Linked DNA regions of Oryzias latipes. The protein of the gene in region 2 purifies or fractionates together with the protein of the main gene of each other region. This does not show direct contact. Links are inferred from orthologs where the notes say so. Each region holds a gene or a part of one and is shown on either strand. Other genes may lie near its edges. The genes, in order: alkbh8 and trmt112.

Region 1 (4,249 bases), on a different chromosome or scaffold from region 2:
ACCTACACCTTCATCCAACTCATTAAGATAATCAGAATTCAGGGCAGAAAATTAAAAAAGAATGCAAAATTCTCACCACTATATATCTCCAACAAAAGGCAGACAATCAAAAAGACAATTGGATGTCCTTTTTAAAAAGGATCTGATTTAAGTGATCTTTGTTAGCTGAAGAGAAAATCAAGTGCTAACTTATTTGAGTGTTCGTTAAGGTTTTTACAAAATCAGAGAATCAAGTTTAGTTTTATAGCTGAATTGGTTAAAACACACAAAAATAACTGTGCACTTGAATCTTTCTAAATCTTCACAAAAAAGCTAGAAGTACTAACAACTTTCTAACTAATGCCCAATCATTTATGGAGGATTCAAAATAACTCAGAATAAGTATTTCCTGTATTATCATTGTATGCAAGATGAAATTATGATGCTCCTGAGATGTTAAAAAGAATGTATAAAAGCCACGATTAGAAATAAAAATAAATTGTAAATGTTACATTTATAATTTATTTTTATTTCTAATCGTGGCTTTTATACATTGTAAAAAAAATCTAAAATACATAAAATATATAATGCATATAAATAACCATATAAACGTCATGTCACATGTTGATTTAGAGTAAGTAATTTTTTATTATTATTTTTTTCTTTATGAACAAAATATTACATTTTTTTGACTGCCTACATTTAAAAAAAAAGCAGCTTTGGCCACGATGATACTCCCCTGTGTGTTTTTCAAACTAAAACTTTTCAAAAATGTTAAATTAAAATTAAGACATGAAGGGCTCCAACAACCGACAGTCTCTGTTTGATGTTGAGCTGTTTGAGTCCCTAAAAGGAAAACACCAACATGCAGCCTGGTCTGGTTCAAAAAGACTGCAAAACTGCTCATCTAAGTAATTAGACTCATAAAAGCCAGACATTTCAAGTCAGAATTTAAGTTAACAGAATTTAAGTGAAGTAGTACTTCTTTTATTAAGTATACTTGTTTAGCAAGTTTACTATAGACCATGTAGGAGTAGTGTAGGAAGTATACCAACTGAATACTTCTTCAGACTAAATAGGAACATTTTTAAGTTTACACTAAATTACATAAAAATTTAAATTAAAGTATACTACTTCACGCTTAAATAGACTACTTTTTGCTGAGGGGAAAAAAATGAAGTATGATCAGTGTTTTCAATAACTAGAAAATATGTTAACTCCTACGTTTGTGGTACTGAGTTTGTTTAATGCGTAACATAAAGTAATACTTTTTGGACAAAAGTAAGTAACATGTAAGTTTATATTTCTTGAAAGTAACTGGAACAAAAATTCTTTAAAAAAAATCTTTTTTAACACAACAATGTAAATCCCAGACGTCTTCAGGCCTTTTTATATGTAATACGTCATCATCCGGAACCTTATTCTTCCAATGCGTGCGTCGCACGGACACTTTTAGTGGACGGGACCATGAAGTCCGATCTGTCAACAGAGAGCAGAAAAAGTAAAGAGGAAAAGAAAGTGTTACGAAAACAGCTTAAAGCCAGTCACACTCTTTTAAAGCATGAAGGCGTCTGTACAACACCGCAACCAACCAAGGTAAGCTAAAGATAACTTCAATCAAAGCGGATATAAAAAAACGTTTCTGATCCACCTGTCGTGTCAGTCTATCGTAAACATAGTTTGTTTTTGTTTAGTGTCTATATTTTTTTAAACGTTGCTCCGTATAAATTGTGCAGAGTTTGGTGATCGCAAACGGCGGTCTGGGGAATGGCGTCAGTCGAGAGGAGCTGACTGCAGTGCTGCAGGAGATGGGAGAGGTGGAGAAGTTGTTGATGCCTCCACACAAACCCTACGCCTTTGTCACCTTCAGGTACACTCAACATCCCTCTCAGAGGAAACATGCCCCCCTACCTGCCAGTCAGAAGAAACCTTCTGTCTCTAGGTTTCTTTAAAAGTCACATGCATCATAAGAGCAAGTATTTTTACATGTTTCTAAAGTAAAAGGGGTTCATTTTAAAACGATAACATTTGTAATAAATAATATATACAGTATCGATGCAAATAATTTAAAAATAGATTTAATATTCAAGATAATTTATGAAATTGAAACCTAGAAAAAAATATTTCATAATCGTATTTCTGATCATATTTTTTGACTTTTTTTTTATTTGGCTTTCAACAAAATCAATTTCCTTCATTTATGTATTAAGATGTTTAATTTGGTTTTAGATACAAGCATTCAATTCTTACGGAACTGAATATTATACATCTTCTACTATGATATTATTTTTTTAACTGATTCTCAGTCATTCTTAAGAATTACTAATTTACTGTGTAAATGTCTTCAAAAATAGGAAAGTAAGAACGCTATAAAACTCGTAGATTGTTTATCTGTTTATGTAAACTATAGCACTTTTTTTCTTGTCACATTTTCTTTTCATTTTGTTGGTTTTTATAACTTAAAATGTATTAATTTGGGTCTTTTTTCCACTGCATTTGGATTCATTTGTTTTTTGGGAGGTAATAATGGTTGCCATATAGTTTGGGATTTTGAACGACTACATGTTCTGTGACTGGATTTGTCAATAAAGGAAAAAAAAACCATGAGCCAAATGAAAACGGGAGGCCATGCAAAAGCAGCTCCAGAATAAATTCTAGGCAAGAAAGTCAGGCAGGTGTTCCAGAGGCAAACACAACCAATTTACAGAAACACCTGTCAATTTGGAAAATGACAACAAAAGAAGAAAAAAAAATGAAAATACGAACAACAAGCTTGAGATGTTTGATTGACTTACAAGAAGAGAGAGACATTCTTAAGCCTTAGACAACCTCACAAATCATGCTCTTATTTTGTAGTAATGGGTCTGTGAACTGGGTTATTAACCGTAATCGTCACACAATGTTATAACTCATTTGAACTGACTGTAAGATTGTGTATGTGTCTGCATGGTTGAAGTTATCATTGCGTTTGTATGTTGCTAGTAAATTAAAATAAAGGTGGAAATTGTGTTTTATTTTATAAAATGAGTGGGATTCTTTAATAAAATTATTTTATATCACCAAATACTTTAGAAAAAGTATTTGTGCAGGTACTCCAGAAAAACTAAGCAGTCTGATTCAGTGTTATTAACCTTTTTCCCACTTAAAAAAGCAAAAGTCTATTTCTGAAATCTACCTGTTCATAGTTTTGTAATGCTGCAGATGCAGTTGGAGGAGCACCAAACTGCTGTTAAACGTTAGCTGCATCCTCGTTTGGAGCATGGAACTGTGGGCACAGATGTTGGTGTTGACCTCAGACTCTCATCCTGTTTCCAGATCTGAAGATGGCGCTCGGAAAGCTCACGCCAACCTTAATGGGTGGAAGTTGCAGTGTGGCGAGAGCAGCATCACACTGTACCTCAGTTACGTCGACTCAGGTGCTTGTCCCTTAAACAGCCTCTTAAAACCACCTTAAAAATTCCTCTTCATCATAACTATTTGTTCTACTCTCCATGTCCATCCACAGTAAAGTGTAAAGAGGGAGCATCTGTCCCTCTGCCAGAAGGTTTGGCCTTGGTGGAACATTTTGTGTCTCCAGAGGAAGAAGCACAGCTGCTCAATGTGATTGACTGGTCACCCACTCAAGGTGACGTCACTGGTAAACATATGTCCTTTTTTACTGTGAAAATGTTCCTAATCTCCTGTTTTTCCTGTGAAATGATTCACTTTTTACGTGTGCTTTTGAGCTTCAAGTATTGTACTAGAATGTAATTGGTTGACCTCTTATACTTGTTTATTTTTTTAATTAAAAGATAAAATCTGTTTGCACTTTCGTTTCTCTTTATGGATAAAGTTACAAATGTTTTTCAGCTCAAAAGTCCTTGAAACACAGACGAGTGAAACATTACGGTTTTGAATTTCGCTATGACATCAACAACGTGGACAAAGACAAACCGTTAGCTGCAGGTACAACTGCTATTTATTTGACAAAAACACTGTTTATTTCAGAGAAATTTCACAGATTAAAACCAGAGATTTATTGGGATTTTCACCGTTTTTATGGTGTGTGTTTGTGTTCATGTGTATGTGTCTCCAGGCCTTCCAGATGAGTGTGTACCCATTCTGCAGCGTTGTGTGGAGCAGGGACACACTAACGTCCTTCCTGATCAGCTGACTGTGAACCAGTATGAGTCTGGACAGGGTGAGTGACAGCAGTTTGATGATGTTACACACATTTTCTAAAAAAAATGGTAATGTTCAGATGTTAAAAAACCTTTTGGAATCTCTGGTT
Region 2 (4,136 bases):
ACCTAATTTATCTTTCACTTTTTATTCTTTTACTTTTTGTTGTTCCTCTTTGGTCTCATTGTTAATTACAGCTTTACACTTAGGGACGACTATTAATCTACCAGGGGTGGCTTTTATTGCTGCTCTGCTGCCATACCATTATACCGTTATTATAGCTGCGGGTGCAGGCCTGTAATTGCTCTAAGTAGAAGGAAAAGGTAGGAAACACTCAGGCTGCCTCCAGGCTTCTGGTCAAACCCCCCTCCTCCCACCCCCTTTCATCACTGGTTCTGGCAGAGTTTCTAAAAATGATAACTGCAAGCAAACAGACTTTTGTTCCACCCCTGCTGCAGAACGTGGAGAAAACACTTAATTTATCAGCATGGACCAAACCACAATCTGTCCTCAAGCTTAAGAGTAATCAGACACACCATGGTGCATCTCAAATCACTGGATCCCACCCAGACTGGGTGAAAAGAAAAGCTGTAATGTGTGGCTTTAAGAAAAAAAAAAAAAAAAAAAAAACTTCCTCCAAAACAACTTCCACCCTGCCTGCCTCCTTCTGCTTAAAGCCAAATGCAGGCAGCCTGCAGCCACGTCATCAGGCTCAGAGAGGACCGATTCAGTTCAGAGCCCACCTCTTTGGCTCGCCTGCAGCACAAACAGCTCCTTTTTTTTTTTTTTTTTTTTAAATGGAAAAAAAACACCACAGATTGCAGCTGTGAGGAAAATCTGGACAGTTTTATTAAGAAAAACAAGTTATAAAAATAAATACAGATAAAATCAAAAAGGGTTCACTTTGTTCAAACATTTCCAGATGGGTTTTTTCAGCATCTCTTTGGGTATCTGACACTTGAAATGCTAAAAGCACTATCAACTAATAACAGAGTGGTCTGTTTCTCTGCACACAGTCTTAACGGGGGGAAAGGTTTGGTCTGCAGATACAGAGATCTTAGGCATCATCCTCGTTCAGCAGCATGTTGGGGATTCCTTTGGTGATCGGGAACTCCCGTCCTGATTCAGGACACTTTAGACATCCCTCCATCACCTCCACCTGTGAGGCGGAGCGGAGAACAAAGGAAAAATGTAGCTGTAATTTAGAAACTACAACCAGTAGGCCACAAGCTCCCTGCTATACTCCATTCTGAAGCATCCACTTGCAGACGAACAGATCCATGTACTTCTTTATCCTCGTCTGAGCTGGAATCTGCCTCAAAGCTGGATAGTGTCAATATTGCTCACTATAGGTTTGGGTTGTGAGGGACTGTAAACTAGTGTGTAAGTGTAAAAACAGATGGATAATAGGAAGTGGGGGTAGGCTTACTCTGCACCAACAGCCCCCCCCACACACACACACAATTTAAGTGGTGAATTTCTAATGAACTCCTGCCGTTCTGCAGAAACTATGTTCTAGAAAACTACAGGTTTATTAATTTTGCTGAAAAATGGCACAATTATAATTAAACGGACACTGTGAACGCTTTAAAATAGATTAAGAGATAAACCGAGTTGGACTTTAAATAGGTTGTTTTGTTTAATGTGACATGCATGAAGCAGGCTCATCTGTCAAAAGCATAAAGCAGGTAACTCTGGGAGAAAGTGAGACACGTTCAGTAGATCAGTGTTTTTCAACCTTTTTTGAGCCACGGCACACTTTTTTTGAGCCCCCCCCCCCCGCAATCTCACGTGCATTTTTGCCGGAAGAGCAGGAAGTTGCGGCTGTTTTTTTCTAAGAGATGAAATGAAAGTTATATTAGAAAATTAAGAAACTGTTTGTTTGTTGTGGTTTCAAGACGTTTCACAAGGACAACTCGTTGTGCGCTGGGACACTGGCCCTTTAAGCCAATGCATCATGGGAGATGTAGTGTGAAAACTGCCGAAAAATTGCAGAAAGACTCGTGTCTCTGAGCTTCATTGTTTTGTTCACTTGTTCCACGGTCTGACACCGGACTCTGTGGAAAGCTACACCGCTAAAGACGAGCTTTAGCTGGTACTTTTGTTAGAACTGAGCGACTTTATCAGCAGAATTAAGAACAAGGAAGTGAAGACTTTAAGCACTTCTGATTGGTCAGACTGATGACATGTGATTAAGCCTTCAAGAATGATTGGCGGAGACAGTTAAATGGGCGGGACTTTTCCGCAAACTGTCATAGCTGCAGGTAAATCGCAGTACAGTCATTCTTATCAAAATGTCTTTAATAGAATTAAATAAACACAAAGAAAAAGTAATTTTAAGATCTTTTATATTCCTAACTACTCAGTGTTTTATCAGGGCCTGTTTGGATGAAAAAAGAGCTGATTTCCTGGAGATGAAAAATGTTTTTAGATCAGTTAATGAGGGCAATTTCCTACGGCACACTGGTTGAAATACACTGCAGTAGATTACCCTCTTTCATCGTCACTACTGGCTTTGATGCTGCTTAGACTTCAGACCAGACGGTGTTTACAGTTTTGCAGCGCAGAAGGAAAAGTAGAGGACAGTCAGCATAACTGCTGACTGATCAGGTTTGTTCAGTCAATCAGAAACTGGGCTCCTTCAATCCAGCTAATCACAAATACTGAAGCAGGGGTTAGCTGCGAAACAAGCAGGGCAATAGCTCACTGGGATCAGGTTTAGAGACTCCTAGGGGGTATTCCAGAAAGCATTTTTAAACTACCCTGACTTTAACCCTGAACTCTGGCTGAAATCCGCCTGAACTTGCTTACAGTACTCTGGGTATGTGGGTTCCAAAAGACCGAATATGAGTTACGCTCGACTTGGTTAATGCACGTGCACGGCAAGTACATAAAGACATTGTCAATGGATCGCCGATTTCCGGAGTCACAAAAGAGAGCGCTGTACTTTAGTGAGGCCGAGTCTGAGATTTTAATGACGGCGTATGAAGATTATAAGACCATCAAAAAAGTAACACGGCTGCATCATCAGCAAAAGAAAGTTTCTGCTTGGAGAAAAAGAACGGACAAAGTAAATGCACGAGTTTCTATCTCATTTCTATTTTCATTGTGACGCAAAATGCTCTTAAGGGAAATATATATATATTTATGTCTATCCAACTCAACAATTGTTTATAAAACTAAAATATACAAATAAAATTTACATATTTATCTAACTAAATGTCATAATAATCGAATTCAATTAAATGTTTTTCCATCTTAATTTCTTGTACTTCTGGAACTCTCATATGTCTAAGTTCGAGGCTGCAGATATTTTCATTTTTATAACATTGAAATAATTGATACAGTGTGGACTTGAAAATTACGACATCTAATCATTTATCATGACTCTGACTTTAACTTAACGTTTTGACACAAGTCAGCACTGCTTGTGCTAAATAAGCTACATAACCTCATCATCCTCTCCCTCTCTCTCACTCGTGTTGCAGAAAGAATTAAACATAACACGCATAAGAGGATAAAATAACTCGGCAAAACACAGTAAAACAGCTAAACAACTAAACACATTTGGTCAAAAACCCACACTTAAACCTAAATCCGTCCAGACAGACAAAGGGAATGGTTTCCCACAATTCCTTGCGGTGCCGATCTAACAGCAGCACCAAAGTTACACTTACTTAATTGAATTAATTTGAATGAAAGTAACATAACTGTCTGAAAACTATGTGTTATTTTTAAGTGAACTGAACTCAAAAAATGATTTATCTTAGCTGAAGCAAATAATTAAGTTAGATCAAAGTAAAAGTTTATATTTCCAACATCCATATGTGGTCTTATCACCCTCTCATGGTGGAAAAAGTATTATTATCTAAATCATCTTCAAATGGACACGGCATGCTGCTTCACCTCTCTGAAAACAAACTAACCTTCAACTAAACCTGCTCCAGACCAGGCTATGTTCAGCGCATGAGTTGCTATGGCAACTTGACCCTGAAACATACCTCCATTTTTGGAACCGAAAGCTGAGGTTATCAACTTCCTTAGCCTCAAAATTATCGTGGTAACTCACATAACCTGCTTTCTGGAATACCCCCCTGACTCTGCAGTCTGTCACATACCTCCAACAGCACTCTGTGTACTTTCTTCAGGAACTCTTCATTTTGCTCGTAATCTGCAATAAGTTCACCAGGCAGGTCCTGTCGATAACCCAACTATAAGAGGGAGAAAGAGGAAAACAATTAAACATATCAAAGCTACAAAGC

Evidence for each region.
Region 1: the proteins of trmt112 (region 2) and alkbh8 purify together in Homo sapiens (co-immunoprecipitation; 3 studies listed by IntAct, with this or other methods). This does not show direct contact. The link is inferred for Oryzias latipes from reciprocal best matches to the Homo sapiens genes TRMT112 and ALKBH8.

What each region holds. Positions count from the first base shown.
Region 1 is NC_019871.2:20,772,629-20,776,877, forward strand, and holds the start of alkbh8 (alkylated DNA repair protein alkB homolog 8), read left to right. Parts: upstream 1-1,418; 5' UTR 1,419-1,446; coding exon 1,447-1,575; intron 1,576-1,715; coding exon 1,716-1,849; intron 1,850-3,294; coding exon 3,295-3,395; intron 3,396-3,484; coding exon 3,485-3,616; intron 3,617-3,828; coding exon 3,829-3,924; intron 3,925-4,054; coding exon 4,055-4,159; intron 4,160-4,249.
Region 2 is NC_019868.2:11,958,204-11,962,339, forward strand, and holds the end of trmt112 (multifunctional methyltransferase subunit TRM112-like protein), read right to left. Parts: intron 4,086-4,136; coding exon 3,993-4,085; intron 1,034-3,992; coding exon 932-1,033; 3' UTR 695-931; downstream 1-694. UniProt on the Homo sapiens protein: Acts as an activator of both rRNA/tRNA and protein methyltransferases. Together with methyltransferase BUD23, methylates the N(7) position of a guanine in 18S rRNA.